Arabidopsis thaliana: one gene and its partner. The protein of the gene in region 1 interacts with the protein of each later gene in a pairwise test. Each region holds a gene or a part of one and is shown on either strand. Other genes may lie near its edges. The genes, in order: LBD13 and GSK1.

Region 1 (10,699 bases):
TTACCTAAACTGCGCATTTTAACAATAATATGCGTATGTCAGCATGAAATCGCACGTTAGTAACGCAGTCCTCTCACTATCTTATGTTGATAGCAGCTGAAATTGAGTTCACTAGAAGATACTAATTATTGAACGTTAATTAGAAAATACTAATTATTCTTGATTAACCATATTGTTTGGTTTGTTTTACTAGATGTATTATCCTAATGAAGAAAATAATAAATTAGGATATGTATACGTTTGAATATATATTTAGTAATGAAAAATGTGATAATATGTACGTTTTGAGTATGTGTTCAGGAGGAAGGCAAGAGTACCGTAGTGATAAAGAAGACTAGGAAGATCGGTGACCGGAGCAAGGAGGCAGAGCTACGGAGGATTCTAAGGGGATTGGGCTCATCTCCACCACGGTGCTCCTCCAAGTGTGGAAGATGCACTCCGTGCAAGCCTGTTCACGTTCCGGTGCCTCCCGGCACGCCTGTCACCGCCGAATACTACCCGGAAGCTTGGAGATGCAAGTGCGGCAACAAGTTGTACATGCCATGATCTTTTATAATATATATACTCACATATATACATTATATATATGAATTATATGCATGTTCGTAGTTATATCTTGCCTCTACTCCAAATATTTATTATACATTGACATGTTGCTAGGACAACCTCAACGTGAAACTTTTGCTGATAAATTGATTGATGATGCTCGTATAGACGATATGACGTTCTTAGCATATGATTTCGTATATGGTGACATAATTCATGAATAATATCAACATTTGGTGTCAAAAGGAAACATATTTCTTGTCTTCTTCTTCAACGTACTTGCTTATAATGAACAAAAAATAAAAAAACGTACTCGCTTTCTAATAAGTATCACATAGGTTTAGGCTCATAAACATATGGACTAACATAAATAAACCAAAAGCCCAATAACATTACTCTTAGCATATACATATAAGTAAACTATTAACATCTGTCTGCGGGACTCGTTGATTTCATTTAAATTCTGTAGTCTCAGCTCGTTCAATTTAATCTATTCGTACACACTGATAATATTCAAGAAAACATATGCTAACGTATAACGTATTACGTATCCAAATACACCTTACACCACTCACACATAGCCCATATATAAAAGTTTGAAGGATTTAAAGTCGCAGACTCGCGGTCATTTTTTTTCTTTAAAGTCGCAGTCATTGACTGACTGATTCTTCTTTCTTATTGAAAGGTTTTTTATGTAAAGACGAAAGTTTAATCAGGATGTGAATATGGTACGGCCCATGTTCTTTATTCCTTTTTTTTTTTTTGGTGCAAAGTTCTTTCTTATTCTATGTTAGAAAAATAATCAAATTACCGACGCGAGCAAAGGTTATTATTTCCTGGCTATTAGTCTATAACTGATAAATAATTAGTCAATCAGATCAAACAATAGAGAAATAATTAGTCTGCAATCAGCGATTATTAAAAAATAAAATAAAATAGAAACATATCTCAGCACCGATTTTTCAACAGCCGGCCCACGATCCAGAACCGTCCAGCTTGAAGCCGGCGCCGCGTCGACTTGTTCCACCGTTCGGATATTGCCACGTGTGTGAGAGACACCTGCCATTACCTCGTGGAACATGTTTTGTTAGTATAAGTTACTAACCAAGTCGCTATCTTCAATTCTTCATTACCTAAGAGTTGAATAAAAAAACAACCATATACGATGAGACACGCAAATAACTGATATACGAAACAATTATTTATTGATGTACATTCTTCTAACTATAATACTACAAGATTCTGAATAGTTTTAGATGTAAAAAGTACGAGAAGAGTTATGATCAGAGTAAGTTAAGTGATAAGATCATGACACGTAGGCAGAGGAAATAAAGTAGAAACTATCGACAACATAATAATTGAGTGAGTACAAAAACCACGTAATAATTAGGTGTACACTGTAGTCTGTAGATCGATTGTACAAAATGAAAAAACTATATGATTTAAGGAACTAGATATACATATGCATCGACTCAAGAACAGTTGCTTTATGTGAAGACTATCAATTACATTATCGGCTAAATTTGGCTTCATGTGTTGAATAGATGGATTGTGTGCTCAGGTAGTTGTGTCAGTTAATTATAACAGTAAACCTTCACTGCTTCACATATATAAAATTTGGGTTAAAAAAACTTTAACATTTTATTTTTTTAATTGACAACAAACAAATTCTGTAACGGTTACATATAATAGTGCTTCAGTTAAACTCCTTTTTTAGGCAACTCTAATTCCTTTATACCCTTAATCCATTATTATTCTATCGAACTTATCTTTTTAAAAGCTTCCGCGTTACGCCATCACTTCTCCACCATTTAAATACCTAAACCACTTTCTTTCAAATTTCTTATTCCATAAAAAGTAAATTCACAACAAAACCAAAAAAAAAAAAAGAGAAGAAGAATTAGCTTACGTGTTCATCACATCTGCATTACGCGCAAACGAAACAGATTCAAATTCTCCGGCGAAGTTTTCTTATTCATCAATCAATCTCTGGATTCATCAATCATGCCAGAGATCGAGATTGCCGCCGGCAGCGGCGACAACAACGACGCCTTATTCGGTAAATATGAGCTCGGAAAGCTTCTCGGATGCGGCGCATTCGCCAAAGTCTTCCACGCACGTGATCGTCGTACCGGCCAAAGCGTCGCCGTGAAAATCCTCAACAAGAAAAAACTCCTCACAAATCCAGCTCTAGCCAACAACATCAAACGCGAGATCTCAATCATGAGAAGATTATCTCATCCAAACATCGTCAAGCTCCACGAAGTAATGGCGACAAAATCAAAGATCTTCTTCGCAATGGAGTTTGTTAAAGGAGGAGAACTATTCAACAAAATCTCAAAACATGGACGTCTTAGCGAAGATTTAAGCCGGAGATATTTCCAGCAACTGATCTCCGCCGTTGGTTATTGCCACGCTCGCGGTGTTTACCACCGCGATCTCAAACCAGAGAATCTATTAATAGACGAAAACGGAAACTTAAAAGTTTCCGATTTCGGTCTAAGCGCGTTAACGGATCAGATCCGACCCGATGGGTTGTTACATACCTTGTGTGGTACTCCGGCGTACGTTGCGCCGGAGATTCTATCTAAAAAAGGATATGAAGGTGCTAAAGTTGATGTATGGTCTTGTGGAATCGTCTTGTTCGTTCTCGTCGCCGGTTATTTACCGTTTAACGATCCGAATGTGATGAATATGTATAAGAAGATTTATAAAGGAGAGTATCGTTTTCCTCGTTGGATGTCTCCAGATCTGAAACGATTCGTTTCTCGTCTTTTAGATATTAATCCTGAGACTAGAATCACCATTGATGAGATTTTGAAAGATCCTTGGTTTGTTAGAGGAGGTTTTAAACAGATCAAGTTCCACGATGACGAGATCGAAGATCAGAAAGTGGAATCGTCACTAGAAGCTGTGAAGAGTTTAAACGCGTTTGATTTGATTTCTTACTCGTCGGGATTGGATTTGTCGGGATTGTTTGCTGGTTGTAGTAATTCGAGTGGTGAATCGGAGAGGTTTTTATCGGAAAAGTCGCCGGAGATGTTGGCGGAGGAAGTGGAGGGGTTTGCGAGAGAGGAGAATCTGAGGATGAAGAAGAAGAAGGAGGAAGAGTATGGGTTTGAGATGGAGGGGCAAAATGGGAAATTTGGTATCGGGATTTGTATTTCGCGGTTGAATGATTTGCTTGTGGTGGTGGAGGCACGGCGGAGAGGTGGTGATGGTGATTGTTATAAGGAGATGTGGAATGGTAAACTCAGGGTTCAACTTATTCGCGTTTGCGATCAGACGTCGTCAACAAACGCGGCTATTTAAAAGAACGCTATGAAGTTTTCTACCGTGCTTTCAATTTTAAAACGCCAATCGCGTTTCGTTGGTTGGATTTGGTTTCTACTACTTTTGTTTCGGAATTAAAAACAGAGAAAAAATAATAAAAATTAATGTATGTATTTAAATACTGTACCAAATTGTAGGTATCTATTTTGTGCTTTTTGATCAATGTGTTACTATGTACAACAACAAGTCTAAAATTGCATTTGTAGATACTTCACTCTTTTGTATAATGTAGAAAATGTTCTTCTATTTATAGTTTGGATTTTCCAATTTTACACATTTGTACATAACTACTTTTTAAAATCAACCATGCAAATTGTATTAAGTTAAAGTGCATGATAACCAAATCAGATTAATAACCAATGAATTGAAAATAAAAAGTAGATAAATTACTAAAATAAAATAATCTCTAAATCGCATAAACTCATCTAAACTCTCAAAAATCCATACATTACACATTTTTTTTTTTTTCAAAAAGGCTTTCAATTCTATACATTTTTCTGCTTATCAAATATGGCTTCTTCACTTTAATATTTATGTATAGAATTGAAAGCATTTTTGAAAGAAAAACTTTGTGTAATGTATTATTGAACAAATGAAATGATTGAAATGGGAGTTCCACATCCAGTGAAGAAAAAGCATTAAAAAGTATGTATAGAATCAGGGAACTTCAAAAATTGAAATCTGCAGCTTTATAAAAAGAAAAGCTATTATTGTCTACTTGATTGGATATTACAACTCAAAACGAGTGAAGGTTAAGGAATCATTATCATTATTAAAGCATCATCATAAGCACCAGCCTTTTGTTATTCTTCTCATCATTTGTTTGGCCAATTTAAAATTTTAATTAATATCATCTCACCATAGTTTCTGCCCACCTTTTGGTTTTAGGTGCAAATGGAAAAACTCTGGCAAATTAGGTTGTTTGGTGTGAATTAGGAAAGTAGAATGCTTATTGAATATTCTTGACTATATCTAAACTCTCTTTATTCACTTGGGTGATTTCCTCATAAAAATATTATTGTACCAAACTCTCTGAAATCAAAGTTTACTATATAGCTAAAATAAAAACCAAAAACTCTACTAAACCAAAGTTAAGAATAAATTCTTTATTAGAGACAAACTCAAAATTGAAAACCATCATTTATTGTATCTGAAAAGTAAAAAGAAAAAGAGGATATAATATGAGGAGAGATTATTTGAAAGCTGAAATTTTAGTTGCGGTAAAATTTGACATAAGTGAGCAAATTTTATAAGCTCTAAAATCAATAGGAGACCTATCACGGTATCACTATCATGATGGGTAACAATGTCATGTGAACCAAGTAAAACAAAATACAGTATAGGAAATGAATTATAAAAAATTGGGCCATTATAAAATTGGGTCATTGAATACAGTGGGCCTTAATCATACATTTCGGCCCATTCTCATCCTTAAGAGATAAAACGGATTTTTTAGTGTAATAATCTGTCGTCTTCAACGGTCGAATTGAATCCAAGAGATATGAGAGAGAAAAGGGGAAATCGGAAAGCCCTAGATCCCGTCGGTGAGGATGGAGTCACCGGAAAAGATGGAAAAGGCTTCTTCGCCTGTTATCTCTTGACCTCTCTTAGCCCTCGTCATAAGGGTCAAACCTATATCGGGTACTTGTTTCTCTCATCTCTGATTTTGGAATTGAAGATTCTGTTGGATCAAATTCGATTGAGAAAGGATTTACATTTTCTGGGTTTATCTGATTGAATACTTAAATTTGATCAAATAGGAGATTTTGAGTGTTTAATAATCAGACTATGAGATGTTTAGTGATTGATTGCATAAACTGGGTTTGGTTGGTAGGTTCACTGTAAACCCGAGGCGGAGAATAAGGCAGCACAATGGAGAGATCACTAGTGGTGCTTGGAGAACAAAGAAGAAACGTCCATGGGAAATGGTTCTCTGTATCTATGGTTTCCCCACCAATGTCTCTGCCCTTCAGGTCCTTTTGCTACCCTAAAGCAAAAGATTCCTTGCCAAAAGATTCTGTTTTTACTTCTTTTGTTCTCCAGTTGTGGCCTCGCTCTTGAATGTTTTGCTAACGTAAAAAAAACCTTTTTGCAGTTTGAATGGGCTTGGCAGCATCCGAGAGAATCGGTTGCAGTTAGAGAAGCTGCTGCGGCTTTCAAATCCTTCTCTGGGGTTGCTAGTAAGATCAAGCTTGTATATACAATGTTAAATCTTCCAGCTTGGAATAGGTAAGGAAGCTTCTTGTTGTTGTTGCTATGCTTTGGTATCCATTTTCTTATAACTTATATGTCTCTTTGTGTCTTGTTGATCAGTTTGAACCTCACGGTTAATTATTTCTCGTCAAAGTATGCACACCACGGTGGTAAATCTCCAAGTTTACCTTTACATATGAAAGTTCAAGTTTGTGCTATGGAGGATCTTCAGTATTTCACAAAGGTAGATGACAGTTCTCAACCCGAAGATGAAGAGAGTCCCGAGGTTAATGAAGAGGATGATGATGATGATGATGATGATAGTAGCAACCTAAGCCAGCCTGGGAATTCAAATACAAGCTCATCGGATGACCGGCATTTTGAAAAAGCGAAAGAACCTGTAACTGTATTTGATGAAGAAGACAGATTAGCAAATTTCAGTGGTTTTGGCTTATTAGATGAAGAAGAGACTGTTGAAGATGAAGTATCACATATCACTGTTGGATCCATTAGAGCTACTGAGAAAGAACCCGAGACTGTATTCAATGACAGATTAGCAAGTTTCACTTGTTTTGGCTTAGTAGAGATTGTTGAAGATGAAGTATCACATGGAACTATAGGATCCACTGAAGCTATGGAGAAAGAGTGTAGGAAAAGAAGGAACCATATCACCTCAACGACGACTGAGGTTGATGTAGAGGTGATAGATCTGATGACTCCATCACCAAGCTGCAGAGCTGGATCATCTATGAAGAGACGAAGAGTTTCTGAGTTTATAGATTTGACTATGTCTCCTAATTTCATAGAGTCGTAGAAGTAATACACGAGAATTTGTGTGAAAATCAAAATCAACTTTGTTGTAATTTTCTTTTATATCTAATAAAAGATTTCAAACCTTTTGAATCTGAGTCTCTCATCTTCTTCCAAGAGCCTATTCATGAATCGTTTTTTCGTAATTTCTAACTTACGTCGCAAAACTTAGGTTCTTAAACGACACTTAATTTAAAACGGGGGAGTATGTATTTTGTGTTAGTGTATATCTGTTGTCACTTTATGATTTCAAAAGTATAATGAATATTGTTGTTGATTAAGAAAGAAAAATCCATATTGTTAGTCTCCAAATCTCCATTATTGCGTAATCTAAAGTTACTTAGTGGTGCTTTCTAGTTTCTAGTTGCACCAATTAAGATTCACCTCAACTTTTGGTTCTCAACAGAATTGACACAACTTCTGCGAATACATGTTATAACAAGGCAACAAACCCTTTCGTAATAATACTATTTCATAATTATTTTAGTTCCAAGATATATGTCCACATGAACATCAACATTTACACTTGAGAAAAGGAAAATTCGTTTACCGATTATCGAAGAGTGTGAAATTGATGAGATCGGCAGTGTCCACATGTTCTCGATGTTGATTGTTGACTTTATATTTTTGTTCAGTCATGCATATCAAAACGTGAGCGTACTTGACACTAGAGAAAAAGAAAATTAGCACGAACAATAGTTTTGCAATCATGGTCAATGATTTAAACTATAAACTAGTTAAGCATTTAATTTGGGGTTTTAGATGTAAACATCCTTCACGTGCAATCACATGTCCAATAGTATGCATTTCTTTCTTCTTTTGTAACCATTGTCTTTTGTATATATATCGTGTTAGATTTTTTCTACAGCTTGACATATTTCACATTTAGTAGCAACTAACACGTGAAGAGGTTGACCAAAGATAAAACAACGAAAAAAGTTCGTTGTCGCCCATTTTAACATATAAAATGAGTAATATTTATAGCACCAAAATTAGTCTTTTTAAGGATTAAAATTTATTTTCTACGGGTACTATTGCTAGTTGCTACGTTTAAACCATAATCTGATTGAGTCTGATCAAATCGGTATGGTTCATCGTGATTGTAGAAACCTTGTGCTTGCTCAAATACAAGGACTGGTACAATTGCGCAATGTTTTGTTTAAGTTTTTTTTTTTAATCTTCAACTAACTTTCTTTAACCACCTACTCTAATGTTTATATATATTATGAATGTTTTGATCGTGGGTCGACCTTATTTAAATTAAATCACCAAAAAAGCTATATTATTATGGTCTTCTTCAACCACATATCTTTTAGTATCGATTGTTGTATTTTTTAGTAACAACATGCAATATACAATAACAAAAGTTACAAAACTTACATATATAAACCATTAAGCTACAAAATTTTGGTCCGATACTACTTATGATCTGTTCCAAATCTCGAGCTTACTCATAACTCGAATATTGATAATTAATACCTTAACGTACAAGAGCAGGACAGTAAGACTTCTTTAAACATATAGTATACAATATAATTAAGTATAGAAGTCTATAGATTTTCCCTTTTAAATAAAGAAAGATCATTTAATTCACCCTAATGACTCTCCTTATTAAAGAAACTCTTCTTCTTCTTCCTTGCTTCTCTTCCTCCTCCTCCTCCATTGATACTCTAAAATAAACTTATAAATAGCATGCGTGAATGTCCCGAGAAAGGTAAAACTAAATCAACATATATACATCTATTTACGATCTTTTTGATTGATAAATCAAATCGGTGGTGGTGAAAATGATTGGAAACAACAGGGAAGGATTTGGAGAGTACTACGAGACCGTCAAGAAGATAAAGAAAGATCCAGCCTTCGAGACAACGACGGATCATGCCGTGATGGGAATCAGGAGACATGTGGCGGTGCCTCCGGGGACAACGTTGAACACCGTAACACCATGCGCCGCTTGTAAGCTCCTCCGCCGTCGTTGTGCGGAGGAGTGTCCTTTCTCGCCTTACTTCTCGCCGCATGAACCTCACAAGTTCGCTGCCGTTCATAAAGTCTTTGGTGCAAGCAACGTCTCCAAGATGCTTCTGGTACACATATTTTCTACATTAATGAATATTTATTTTCTTTTCTTAGTTAAGGTTTCTTAATTTGATTACTCTTTTGATATCGTATTTGATTAATCTGAATATATAGTTGAACGGATCTACCATTTTTGATATTTGACTCTTTCCAAATATATTCAAAACATATATTTATCCCATTTGTTATAGTCGAGGTGGTTTATCTAACTAGTATAGGTAGAAATTCATTATCCTAAGATGCACATACATACTAAGATTGAGTATTGGTAAGTTATTTACTTTTCGTACATAATATTTGATTGAGCTATATGTATATTAACTTATGGAATAAGAAAATGTTGTAGGAAGTGGGAGAGAGCCAAAGAGGAGACGCAGCAAATAGTTTAGTATACGAAGCAAACCTAAGACTTAGAGATCCAATCTACGGTTGCATGGGAGCAATCTCAGCTCTTCAACACCACATTCAGTCTCTTCAATCCGAACTCACGACCGTCCGTACGGAAATCCTACGCCACAAATACCAAGAAGCCACCACCATCACTTCTCTCCAAAACAACTTCAACAGCACTACAACAACTTCATCAGTGAGTTGTGATCAGCATGCTCTCGCCTCGGCGATTCTCCTCCCACCACCACCGCCACCACCTCCTACTCCACGACCACCAAGGTTGTTGTCCTCTCAGCCAGCTCCACCGCCTACGCCACCCGTTTCTTTGCCATCTCCGTCCATGGTTGTGTCGTCCTCTTCATCTTCTAATTCATCTGCCACCAATTCTATGTATAATCCTCCTCCATCTTCGACGGCTGGATATAGCAATTCTCTGTCCAGTGATAATAATGTTCATTACTTTGATTAAATCAGAATTCTGTGTTCCTTAATTTTTTTAAAATACTATTATAGCCCTTATTATAAGCTACGAGATTGAATGGTGATCCATGTTAAAGATAGGGTTTTCAACTTTTGATTTATTTTATTTTTCATATTGATTAATGGGTTCCATTACCATACTAACGTACGTAAATACAATGGTAAAGAATCTTAGTATCATGAGGGTATTACTCATGACTCATATGACAATTTTAGTAACCAACACGAAGTTGAAAAAACATTTACACAAAATAACACAATTCCACATTAAATCAGAATCAGAAATCTAACATATTGTTAGTCCTGAAAATTGAGAAATTCTACTAATGAAATTATGAGCTTATAATTATTAAATTACATGAGAATTAACATTAAATGGAGGCGTTGACTAAACATATAAATTTGGCAACGAGCATTCCCACGTACCTCTAATTGTCATTAATATATAAATATTAAATATAGTTTTTAATTAAAGGTATTAATTGATCAATTAATTAATCATAACCCAAACAGAATCTATTTATATCCCATAACAGAGTTCCAGAGTCACCACATGACGCAATTACATACATATAGTACTAGTATTTCTTGATTACACAGTGTCCCACAAGCTCTTAATAATTTACATTAATGTTTCTTAATCTCAACCATTACCTACAGGCTACAGCTCATGTTTTGCTTGTTAACATACACAATGTATTCTATATACATGTATGCAGTATGTATATATTTTCTTAGATTTTTATAAATACTATTTTGTAATTCTGCTATATAAAAGTATAATATATGATATATCCATCAATGTATAACTAAAATTTGTTACGAAAAAAATCTTTTAAAAAACACTAGAAGTTTTTTTTTTAAAAAGACT
Region 2 (13,115 bases), on another chromosome or scaffold:
GACCTCGTTTTGGACCGTTTGACACGTGTCGAAACAGGGGACGCTTTTGAGCGTGTGGTGAACCAGAGTGATCAAGTGTCATACGTTTTTGTTTTGGATGGTATTCGTTAGTGGAACAGGAATTAATTAAAAATGGAAGCATATGGGAATAGATTTATTTATGGTTAATGTTGGTCTATAAAAAAACAAAGACTACTCCGTATGAAACTAGTTGGTCAAATTAATTGTTGGTTGCACATTGTCTAATATTGTCTTTAATGATTGATTAGTTGTAGGCTTGCAGTTACAACCTCGATAAGATTTTTGTGTTGTCAGATTGTAGTTGTTGTGATTTTTAAAATTGTACCTATATGTGAATAAATATATTGAGAAAACAAAATATATATACATGAGTCTAATTAGGATGATGTTATTGAATTATTGGGCTTTCAAGATTTTCCTTAGTAGAGAGATGGACCAGAAATGTTTTAGCTATTCTTTGTGTATGTTGCATAAGTAACACGATTGTTCGGATGGAGCAACATTATAGTAAGGTGTTATGTGAACCGTAGAAAGTTTCTGAGTAATACATAATTTCAAAAATTTATAATCTAATAAAAAAGTAAACTTGATATTTTTAAAAATCAATACAAATATCTCTAATTTTATAAACTCTCCAGGTTGCTAGCTAAGGAGTAGTAGCTACATTCATTGAAACCCAAACTTAAGAAAATGAAAGTAAATAGTATCTTCATCCTGAAGATAAATTTTAGAAAAGTAGGTGTATACTGTTTATTGTTAATCTTGTTAAATTGTAATTAGAAAACTGTATTAAGTTAAAAATGATTATGTTGTGAGTGGAAGTTGTTAACAATATATGGAGAAGATTTCCTAAAATGTGCAACTAATTAAGCGGAATCATCTTTTTAAAAATTTAAACTTTTTCTGTTCAAAAACAAAAAGAAGAAGAAAAAAGGGTGATTTAGAGCCAACCCGACAAAAGCTTTCATCGTCATCATCTGAATCATTAATTCATTATCATCAAATAATACAGCAGCAAGCAACACAGTAAAACCCAATTCCCTAATCCCAAAATTCGATCTCTCATCTGATGGCTGGTTACAGAGCCGATGAAGAGTACGATTACCTCTTCAAGCTCGTGTTGATCGGCGACTCTGGTGTCGGCAAATCGAATCTGCTCTCTCGGTTCACCAAGAACGAGTTCAATCTCGAATCCAAGTCTACTATTGGTGTTGAGTTCGCTACCAAAACCACTAAAGTCGAAGGCAAAGTCGTCAAAGCTCAGATTTGGGATACTGCTGGTCAAGAGAGGTCAGATTACGTTTCCTCTCTTGCTTTTTTTTTCCTGCTTACTTTATTGAAAATCCTTAGGATAAGGTTTTAAAAAACCATCCTTTTTGGCTCGATTTCGTTGTTGAGTTCTTGTTGGATTCGCTGTTTATGAATTCATGGTGTTTGATTTATGTATCTGAATCTGTAGCCTGATTTGGATATTACAAGTTCAAAGTGTCTTGTTCATTTTTCCTTGTTGGTTTACTAGTTACGACTATTTGTGGCAGAACTAGAGTTTTCTGGTTTTCGGAACGAAACTGGTTGTGTCTGAATTTGTAAATCTCTTAGACTTGAGCAACTTTCAATATGGTTCAGAATCTCAATTGTGCTGAATATCGCTCGCAGGCTGCAGTTTACTCGGAATATACTTTTAGGTTTTATTCACATTTGGGCTACTAATGGTTTTCTTTTGTGGCATAGCTTCTGTGTTTGTAAGATTCTTGTTCATAGATCTGTATCCCTCATATATGGGTCTACTTGATTAGCTTATTCAATCCTCTCCTGTCTAGGTCAATTCCCGTTGTTAAAATGTTGTTTGTAGATATCTGTTATCTAAACCTCGGTTACTATACTAGTATTGTGCTGTTCCATCCGTTTCACACATTGATATTTGTCTGAGCTCGTCTGTGATGAACTTCTGAACCCAATATACTTGTTGAAAACAACATTTCTTTCATCTCCTCTGTCTTGTCTTGCACTAGACATAGATAACATTTTGAATTTTGCAGCAGAATTCTTCATTAACTCTGCGATTGTAACTTTACAAAGTAACCATTTGGTAGATGGATACCATGTAATATGGTTATCGAAAATAGTCTAACTTTGTGTACTTAATCTGTAATGTTACTGAACTTATTATTGTAGTTGTTATTATATCTTTGTTAACAACATCTGAGAAAATGCTGGTTTTGTTTATGCTATGATAGATACCGAGCAATCACAAGCGCTTATTACAGAGGAGCTGTTGGTGCTTTGCTTATTTACGACGTGACAAGGCACGCAACATTTGAGAATGCAGCAAGATGGCTAAGGGAACTAAGAGGACACACAGACCCAAACATAGTGGTGATGCTTATAGGGAACAAGTGCGATCTGCGTCACTTGGTGGCAGTCAAAACAGAAGAGGCTAAAGCCTTTGCTGAGAGAGAATCCCTCTATTTCATGGAGACTTCAGCTCTAGACGCAACCAATGTTGAAAACGCATTCACGGAAGTGCTCACTCAGATCCACAAGATAGTGAGCAAAAGAAGTGTTGATGGAGGAGGAGAGTCGGCTGATTTACCGGGAAAAGGAGAGACGATAAACGTTAAAGAAGACGGATCGGTTCTTAAGAGAATGGGTTGCTGCTCTAACTAGAGTGGGGGGATTGTAGATTTGGCTTGATTTGGTTAGGGTGAGACAACAAATGATAATCTCTTTGGGTCTTGCAATCAAAAAAGAAATAAGAAACGATTACTTTTAAGATCATGTGTATGCTTTGGTAACTTTGGCCTGTAAGGTCCTTTAAAATTTAAGTACATGATTGGTAATTTGTTTTCAACACTCCCACCACTTGTAATTTGTAAACTTGTAATAAACTGAAGAAATGCAAATCATCACCTACGTAACATTTCGAAAATAGATCTAGCGACTTTTAATTTAAGAGGATGATTATTTATCCCTCTAGTCTTTTGTGTTGAGAGAAGAAAACAAAAAAACATCTGTAGCTAATCTTTTGGACATGACATGGTTTAATATTATCACCTCGTTTTTCTTTTGTCTCTACGTATCTGTCAGAATTGTTTTACAGACAAAAACATATACAAAAATACACGAGGAACAGTGTCTCTCTCCACTCTCCAGGCTACGGAATAAAAAAAAAAAAAACGCAATTATCAGCATCTGATTTCTCAAAAAGCTGAATATGACTTTACTACGGGTATAGAAGCTGATAATAGTCGTGGTTAATATACTGTTGAACCTGTCAACTATCAAATAAAAGTAGTAAACCTGCTTTTCTCCTCTTTCTCTTCAGACATGCACAGTTTTTAACTGTTTTGTAATCCTGTGCTCATTTGTCGTCTCACATGCTCAGGTATTAGCCTGTTGATTAGCTCCATTGAAGCTCCACCTAACTGTTTCCACATCCAAAGAACAAATTGGGTTATGTTGAAGTTCCACTAAAGAAACATCATCCTTTGCTATTGATTTTTACCTCTTGTTTGAAATTGAACAATGGCGGTAATGGACGACCATTTGGAAGACGGGCGTTTGGCTCTCGGAGTTCATTGAAAAACGGATGAGCACATGCTTCGAGCTAAAAATAGACAGAGAACAAGACAAATGTTAAAATGAATCTTAGCTTTATCCAACACTTGGAAGATTCAAAAAGAGTTATCACTGACGACTACTTTCGATTATAAAAAAAAGAGGGAGATACTGACCGCAGTGCAGCGTAGACTTGGTGAATATTGAAGAAGCCGAGATGCAAGGTCTATTGCTTCTGGAGGCATCCGTTTATGAAAAACCTGGAGGTCAAGGGTACAGTATATGGTTGATGCTATAAATGAATCGCTTCAATGTATACTGTGTAGGTAATGAGTTCAGTAATTGCTTAACCAGGAACAAAAGGTGAGATGAACTACCTTGTGCCAAGGGTGAGCTTTGATTTGTGGGAACCTAAAATCTGTGTAGTTCGGGTTCATACATCGAATTTCTTCACGAGTTGGAGTACCAAGAACCTAAAACAAGGTAGCAAGTGTACTTATGGTAACATATTTACTAGATTCTAGTCTAATACCAAAGACAAAAAAGAGCACATCCATTAGTCTAATAAAGGAGACTTCACCTTTATGATCTCCACAAGCTGATCAACTGAATTTTCTCCTGGAAATAACGGCTGTAGAGAGAGAGAGAGACTGGCTTAATATAACATTGGGTGCGCACTTTTTGCATTTTGCAGAGACTCTTTATTTAACAAGGTAATTAACGCATAAAAATCCACACTAACCTGGCCCAGAAGAAGCTCTGCCAGTACACAACCAGCAGACCATATATCTATGGATGCTGTATACTCTGTGGCGCCAAAGATCAGTTCTGGAGCACGATAATAACGGGAGCAGATATATGATATGTTTGGTTCACCTTTGACCTAATAGTGAATTACCAAAAATTTAAAAGGGTTACCAAAACAGAGAACATGCTGCTCGCACTTAATGGTATAACTCACACTTATATGGTAGCTCAGTGAACTAGATGCGTAGATACATAACCAAGCCGAAAACACACAAAAAAGGTGAGATAATGAAAAGATAACACCCTTACCAATACTTTTGCACTTCCAAAATCACACAGCTTAACCTGATGGGTCAAGGGATCAACCTACAGTATGCACCAGAAAGTGAGATCCAGAAATAGTCAAGATTACAAACCACATGGCATGCTAGATAACGTACCAAGAGATTTTGTGGTTTCACATCTCTGTGGCAAACACCGGGAACAGTATGGATGTAAGCCAAACCTCTAAAGATCTGCACAATAGATATTTCAAATCAGTTTCAGAGTAAATTCTAATAAATTATAATATTTGTGAGAACTAACTGCAAATAACAGTACATACTTGATATGTGTAAAGCTTGACATAGAAAATTGGCATCCTCTGATTAGAACTAGTATAGTGCCTCAAAACCCGGTATAAAGTCTCAGGTACATACTCCATAACAAGGTTGAGGAAGAGCTCATCTCTACTCGTTGTAGAGAAGAAACAGTGCTTCAAGGAGATGACATTTGGGTGATCCATTGGTCGCATTAGTTGCAACTCACGGTTTTTATAGCGTCGATCTTGCAAGACCTTTTTAATGGCTACTGATTCTCCAGTTTCCAAGCATTTCGCCTAAAATCGTAAATTTCAGACTTGATCAGAAAGAAAGAAGAGAATTTATGTCCTGGAACCGCTAGTACAGAGAAGCACAAAATACCTGAAAAACAATCCCGAATGAACCTGTTCCAACAACCCGCTCAGCCATGTAACTAATGGTCTGTAGGGGACAGAATGAAGATCATGTAAGGGAGAGATGAATTAATTTGACTTGAAAAAGGGTTTTAATGGGAAAGTAACACTTGCTGGAGCATTTGATGCGAAATGAATAACCCAGACCCCGCAGAAACCTTACACATGGTACTGTGCTATAACCGTAAGTGTTAACTACTAGTTAGTTATCTAAGAGATTTTGCAAACATTAGCATCAAACCTGCTTTGGTTCGCCGTTTTTGCCTCCAATAGTAGTGGAAATGATATGACCAGTAACAGCGTCATTTCCCTCAATAACAGCTGCAGACATTTCCTGCAATCCACCTCACATATTAGTATAGACATTAAACTATTTTGATCAACTACAAGGTGGAATAGAGATGGCAAGCATTTACTGCATCCGATTATTTCAACAAACCTCAGGATAGGTATGACTGTATGAGAATGCTGTTATTGCTATTATACAAGTGGTCGGAATTAACTTATATTGAAAACGTGAAGCTAACACATATAAAATGTACCAACTAACCAGTTGTCAAGCCAATAGAAGCACTCAAGCAAGATGCAGAAAGAATAAGAAAAATAAAGTAAAGCATGGGTTAACCAGAGGTAAACAATGGTGATAGAAGTTCAAAAATGTAGTGATTTTAGACGTCAAACAATTTATGGGTATTAGATATAGAACAAAAAAAAAAATCATAGATACAAAATACAAGTCAATGGAAGAAGTTCTGCCAGAGTGAAGGACAAGCCATAAGACAAAATTCAGAATAAATGTCGATGGCAAATAGAAAAGAGAGAGAGACAGAGACAGAGAAGCAATGGGCCAAGAAAACCATAACTAAAGGAATACTCCGAAACCTACCGAGAGTGAATTCAGAGATCTACAAGTAAACTGTACTTTGTAGAATGAACAGTGTTGAAATAAATAATATCCAAACAAGCAAATTGTTGTACTTGAAAGTGAACAGTGTTGAAACAAACAATCGAAATATCCAAAAACAAATATGAAGGGGAAATATTCAACCTAGTTTACTGAAAATGTAAGTTTCCCAAGCGCAAGAAACTATCTCAAATTATTTTACACTAAATTTTTCAACAAGATTCGAAGATTACTGCTACTTAGATCTCCGGTAGAGAAGGTTGAAGTAGTAGCTGGGAGATACCAAGAGTAATCTAGCTACTGCATGCATACAAATGAAGTAAAAATCACAGTCTCCTATCAAAACGCCTCGTCGGAGAAAGAAACAAAAAAACTCTCCGGTGAGCTCAGATCAATACAAGCGACGAACAAACACAAGAGCACGAGAATATAGATCGATTCGACTGAACTAAGACATAGAACAAAGAAAGTAGGAGCTAGATCGGAGTAGATCTAGAACAGCCACCAAACGATAATTTCAAATGCACTGTTTACCAAACACAGACGGTAACAGTAACACACAAAACAAAGAGACGGGGAGAAATAAACCTTATCAGAATCCAATTCAGGACGGCGTTTCAAAGCGTCGCCGTCGTGAAGCTGCAGCGGCGGAGCAAGAGCATGAGGCTGAGGCCCCAATGGTAATGAGGCCATGTGCTTTTTTACTCTTTTCTCTCTCAACCACTGAACAATGAGTAAAGTCTAATTTTTCCTCTCTCTTTGCTTCTAAATTTCAGAAATGGTTCAAAGACAATGGAGGACCCACGGAAGACTAGAGCGCGTGAATGTAACGGTCCAATGAGAAAACTACTTTTTAATTGATAAAGCACTGAAAAATTCTGATAAACACTTCCTTAGCATTTAATGATAACTAAATTACTAAGTTGAGTTAGAACTCCATTAAATATTCTAACTGAATAATAATGGTATCAAATGAATGAATACTCCAATCATATTTCCCAATTTAGATATTAAGCTTAACTTAAAGAGACTTTTCTTTGTCCCTTTAGCCTGAAGTGTTGCCTTTGTAAGACAATAGTTAACGATAGATTCTTTTTCATTACACTAACCAACAAAAGAATTACAGTTAGCATTCATACAAAGATAAAATTTAAGTTGCAAAGGGCTAAAAAAAATGACGATGAGACTAGTTTACGAAAATGTAAGATTAACAAGCAGTAGTGGGGAACGTAAACTATACAAAAATAAGACTCTGAGTCAAAGGGATTGGAAAGTGAAAAGATATATAACCGTTACTGTGATATCGAACAAGAACAATTGTCAAACAAAGAAAGATCAATGGAATCTACCTTTGTGGAGAGTAATTCAATAGAGTAGGAAAACTAATATTCTTTCCAATACATCACCAAAAACCATCTTTTTTAGAGAATTCATGTGACTATATATCTGCATAACAAAAGAAGATACCAGTAAAATCAATCAAAAGACCCACTCATGGAAATTTGTATTAAAACCATCTGTTTCACTCTAATCAATCTAGACAGTTTTGTTCAGTCTAGGCATTATCTTAAACATTACAGCATCACAAATTCCACTAAGAAAACAAACCAAAACTTGTGACTCACTGGAACCAGATCATCCATCAGCTTCTTTAAACAAATTCATCAAGCAACTGATTGATAAACAGGCAATGCCAAGCTCTCAAGTAACTTGAGATGAAACAATTTAACATTCTTCCATCTACCAGGAACTAAATCACCAATCCCATTCATGGCCGCTACAACATTCTCTGCAATCTCGTTCCTTCCCATTGACAACTTCGCTACTTTAACAACACTGCAAGTACCTGTACCAACGAAGAACAAAGCTGATTCACAAGCTTTTTCGATCTGCTCTTTCCAACTACCATGCCTTAAGTTAATCGCAATCGGAGTCTTATTCTTCTTAACAAACTCTTTCCCCAACAGCTTCGGCAACATCGGCATTAGCCTCCTCTCCGCGAAATACAACTCGAATCGCTTCTCCTCCTCTAATTTGCGTAAATCGGATTTCAATTTGGAGACTTTAATAACTGTGGTGATTGGAATCTTCTCTGCTTCGATCTTCTTCAAAGCCGCTTCCTTTGTGATTTTGTTCTTGTGTTTGTCGTCGATGATCAAACAGAGCTCCGGCGGATCTTCGGCGACCAGATCGATGAGAGGATGAGGAAGAGGGATCATCAAGGGGTTAGTACGATCCAACTGAGGGATTCTCTTCAGTGTCACGATTAGATAGACGAAACCGTCGTTCTCGAGTGATTCAGAGTTCTCGGTCTTGGATTTGGAGTCCCACCATTTTAGCAGAGACTTCACGGCTCTGTTAACGTTCTGCGGGTCAACCTTCGACTGGTGTCGCTGCGGAAGTGCAGCCGTAGTAGTAGTAGTACTCATTCTCCGGTGAGAAGACGGCGCAATGAACACAGGTTACGTTTGCGGAATTAGGGTTCTGAGCAAAAATTATAGGGTTTACGATTTTTTTCTTTTTTTTTTCTTCTTTCGACATTTTATTCGATTTTTTTTTTTGTAAAACTCAAAAATTATATGCGTTTTATTAATGATGCGCCACTTTATCCTTTTTTCTGGGGGTAAAATTGTCATCTGCTCAATCGTTTTCTCTGACCGCCGGCGAAACTCTTCGCGCTTCCCCGACTGCCGGCGAAAATCGACGCTGCTTCCCGTTTCCGGTTAATTAAGAGCTTTCCTCTGTACCTCTTCAACTCATTGTAGGCTGCGTCTTCTTCAATGGCAACAAGGAAGCGGAAGAACGCTGATTCGTGTAGTGACGCTCTTCTAAATCAGAGCGAATTCGATCTCCGAGGCAGATATTCTTATTCAATTATCTCAATCCCTTGGCACCGTATTCTGGTAATGTTTCCAAAATAAAGATAAATTGCAATCGCTTTAATTTTCTGATTTTGTGGTGAGTGATTGAACCTGTGTCAATTCTATGCTGCTGAGTGTTTCTCAGGTTGATCATAATGGATAGGTGCGCCGTGCGGTCATTTGACATTGCGTCCCATTGTATAAAGTTCTTCATGTGACGGGCCTTGATACTACTTCCTACGTAATGGTCAGTATACTTCTTCATTATTTTACAAGAAATCTTGAATTGTGGTATTAACAATGTGTTGTTACTTTTGCAGATGATGTAAAAGCTTTTTTGGTCTACTAAGAAGATAAAATTAGAACCTGTTAATATTGATTTTGAATATAGGCTTCTCCAAAATCTGATGTTACTGCAATTCCAATAAGATTTGCCTAGGTTAATGACGAACAAAGTGAAGCCAGCTCACCATTACACTATGTTGATAGTTCCTAGTTCCTACTATGTTGAGAGGTTGATGTAACCGGAAGTGAGTTAGAGATCCCAGATCCCTCTGTTTCCTCTTTATTCGTTTTTGCATTTTAACTCTGCAGCTGTATTCTTTAATGTTAGTTTTAATGTTTTGTATTGAACATTTCATTGCGCTTACTAGCTTCTGCTGTGTTAGGTCTTTGGTCCTCGGTTTCACCTGTCTGTTGGACCGTATGATATGCTGCTCATGGGTCATTGTGCCTCTCAATTTTCTGAAGCTTCCTCTCATCCGGTGGAGACTATTACGGAACTCGCTCATGGCACTGGTACTATTTCCTGTCATGCTTTTCACTTTCACACTTTTTTTCATTGCGGGAATTATCAAGTCTACAAATCAAAAGCTTTTATCTCTTATCCAATGGATCTTAGCAGATATATACAGCATACTCTGCCATAAGTAATTCAGGTAATATGGATGTACTTGAATAAATGTAAACTACACATGGGAACATCTTTTCATTGTGAATTATGTTTTCCATGTCGTTTACTCTGATTATGAATGACAGGTTTGTGCTGCCTGTGTTACCCATAGCTTTGATATTCTCTGGGTATACATTTGCTCAAATGGAAGCATCTGATTTATCATCAATCATTAAAGAGAAGCAAGTCCCTGGAAATAACCATATCATCAAGTGGTCTCCTAAACTAAGACTTCCAGTCTTCATTTTGCCTGCTACCAATATCCCGAGGCACTACACATGAGTTTATTCTATCAAGTTAAAAAACTAAACACTCTAGTTTATGAGTTACTCTCTTTTTCTTTCTTTCTAATTGTGCTAAAAGGAATTCTTGTTTTCTCAATGGACACGAACCAAGGATGCGATGTACAGACTTATCGGAAAAAAGGATACAAAGGGAGAGTAAAGAGCATTCTCTCTCTCATGCCAAGCCATTCGACTCCTTATTATTATTATTCCACTCTCCATAGTAACATTCCAATGCGATTTCTCGACTACACACCAAGGTAAATGGATCACGCCCCTGAGTCACAGTTTTTGCTTCTATGCGATTCTTAAGGATTCTTCTTCTTATTATTTTGAAACAGCGAAGACATTAGGAGATTTTGATGAGTCAGACCAATTCTTAATGGACCTTTTAGGATTGGCATCAAAGTTAGCTAGAAATTGGCCAGCACGACCGCGTCACATATTATTGTTTGCATCGGAAGCAACAAAACTCAGAGGTTTTATGATCCACTATTCCTTCCAAGAGGCAAGTTGAAAAGCAGGACCACCATTTTTTTCCAACGCTGATGTTATTCGTTTAGTAGACTAAAATCTGTTTTGTTGGCAATGAAACAGGTCAAAAGTTTTTTCCACACACATTTCAAGGTTTATAGATACATCAAATCAATCCCCACTAGTCATCTATGCTAAAAAATACTGACTCGGTCTAACTTCGCGTGTAGCTTTTTTTTTTTTTTTCCTGTTACCAAAAAACACCTTGATGTTATGGTGTTTCTGTCTGAACCACATGAATGCACTAGTTGATCAGGTCGGTACACAAGTTAAAAAAACGAACTCAACGAAAATGTCAAAAATTCTCAATTATTCTATTTGAGTTTTATTTTGAATCTGTTTTACTCTCTTAGATCATATGTTCGAGTTAAGAGCTTTTAATTTATAGCCCCGCGAAGTTTCATGATCAAATCTCAACAACTTTCAACATCAGAACCCAAGAAAAAATAAATCATGTTTTGGATCAAGGAACGTTTGTTGATTCTCATATATGTCTGGTTTTCCTTAGGGATTGATGCCCACACGGAAATTAAGTTGTCTATCTACCACAAAAAAAAAAAAAAAAAAAGGTAGCTACCACATTAAATTTCTCTGGTTACGTACAATCAATGTTAAAAGATTTGTTGTTTCAATGTAGCTAGGTCTCACCTATATATGGATTCCTATACGGGGTTTTTACATACCGTATATACTGTTTTGTGAGTTTGAACTTAATACTAATTGACAATATTTATATATTAACCCACGTACGTTTTTATATTTCATGCTACTGCTATAGAGATTTCATCATTAGCAATATGAAATACCATTCTTCAATGTTTAATTATGAATTTATGATCAATCAAAACTGTGTACTTGCAATACAATACGATTTAACAACGCTAAGTGATGTGACATTATAACTGTGGATCCATCAGATATATCGAAAACAACAGTCCTGCAGATCGTATTTTTTGTGGGATTGACTAGTTTCTTGTAGATTAACATATTGCTGGAAATTTAATTTTAACTAGTTTATAGTTTGTTTTGTCCCAAAAAAAAAAAAAAAAAACTAGTTTATAGTTTGTTACGTTGAATATTATAAGTTTAATCGATATTATCGGATCTGTAGAACGCTAAGCATTATGAATGCCGTAAAACGAATCTTTTTATATAGATGCGCATTCAATTATTTTTCAATGCGGTGAGCGTAGGGCAGTTTGGTAGTTAGCAAGACTCATAACCTGCGGCCACACAGGTTCAAATCCTGTCCCCACAACAACATTGTTTTCTAGATTCCATCATGGTTACTACACTAATAAAACGAGTGACGAGAACTCTTAACATTGTATTGAAAATTAACTTCTTTTGACACTAATAAAACAATCTTATACAATTTTCATAATTAGAGGTAATTAAAATTAGATATAATGTGTTTACTAACAGTGTTGTATTTATTTCATATATAATATTAGTTATATATATTTCTTTAGTTACTATAAGTATATATGGAAAATGTTCCTTTTTAATTAAGAATACTTGTGGTTCTACTTTTTCGTGTCTCCAATCTCTAATATTACTATACTATATATAGAAGCTTTAAAGAAGCATTGTAAGACACAACCACAACAGACAGAATTCAAGTGCATTTCCATGTGACACCAAAGGAAGTTGCCCTTTTTGAAAATATCACTAGTTTCCTATAAAGTTTTTTTCTTTTTTCCCTTTTCTTTTGATTCCGATATATATACGACCTTTTTTATTTTAACTTTTAACATTTAACTACAAAATTGAGGATGAATCCAAGCAAAGCAACTGGAGGAATTGTGGAGGACTTAACCAAACAGTTACCAAAATCAATGTTCTTGTCGATGGATGCCGATAAAACTTTACTCCACATTATCCAAAAAAAAATTACTTCAGCGAAAAATGTTAATTGTATCTTGGGATATTGTAGATGCCCTCGAAGCTTAAAATCACTGCATGAAACGGATGGCATCAAATTCCGTGTCTTTCATGACGTAAGTCTTTAATCATAAAGTCTTCATATATATACGGCCGGGTATATATTTGTAAGAAATGAAGCCAAAGATTTGTTATGGTGAACGTGAAAGTAGAGATTCATTTGGAGTAAAGTTTTATCTTTGGCCGTTGATATCTTATTAAAATCCTCATCCGGAGACATACACCAGTTAAGTGTTAGTTGCTGAGTGTAGATGGATATATAGTAGTAATGTTTTCTTTTTAGATAATGGTATAAAATATAATATATATATTAAAA

What was found.
Region 2: the proteins of LBD13 (region 1) and GSK1 interact in a two-hybrid assay, tested with the Arabidopsis thaliana proteins (one large-scale study listed by BioGRID).

The regions. Positions count from the first base shown.
Region 1 is NC_003071.7:12,930,424-12,941,122, reverse strand, and holds LBD13 (LOB domain-containing protein 13), read left to right. Parts: upstream 1-8,294; 5' UTR 8,295-8,582; coding exon of another isoform or gene 8,583-8,596; 5' UTR 8,597-8,669; coding exon 8,670-8,966; intron 8,967-9,304; coding exon 9,305-9,817; 3' UTR 9,818-9,951; downstream 9,952-10,699. Other genes in the region: CHAL (allergen-like protein), read left to right, coding at 301-546; SIP4 (SOS3-interacting protein 4), read left to right, coding at 2,551-3,858; AT2G30350 (Excinuclease ABC, C subunit, N-terminal), read left to right, coding at 5,381-5,520, 5,714-5,852, 5,975-6,108, 6,193-6,886.
Region 2 is NC_003070.9:1,940,662-1,953,776, reverse strand, and holds GSK1 (GSK3/SHAGGY-like protein kinase 1), read right to left. Parts: upstream 7,032-13,115; 5' UTR 6,918-7,031; coding exon 6,813-6,917; intron 5,655-6,812; coding exon 5,562-5,654; intron 5,349-5,561; coding exon 5,289-5,348; intron 5,204-5,288; coding exon 4,931-5,203; intron 4,842-4,930; coding exon 4,767-4,841; intron 4,693-4,766; coding exon 4,636-4,692; intron 4,463-4,635; coding exon 4,322-4,462; intron 4,211-4,321; coding exon 4,160-4,210; intron 4,053-4,159; coding exon 3,957-4,052; intron 3,840-3,956; coding exon 3,756-3,839; intron 3,629-3,755; coding exon 3,527-3,628; intron 3,447-3,526; coding exon 3,360-3,446; 3' UTR 2,927-3,359; downstream 1-2,926. Other genes in the region: ARA-2 (Ras-related small GTP-binding family protein), read left to right, coding at 1,091-1,311, 2,259-2,688; AT1G06380 (Ribosomal protein L1p/L10e family), read right to left, coding at 7,889-8,653. UniProt on the Arabidopsis thaliana protein: Phosphorylates BSK1, BSK3, BSK5, BSK6, BSK8 and BSK11 in vitro. May mediate extracellular signals to regulate transcription in differentiating cells.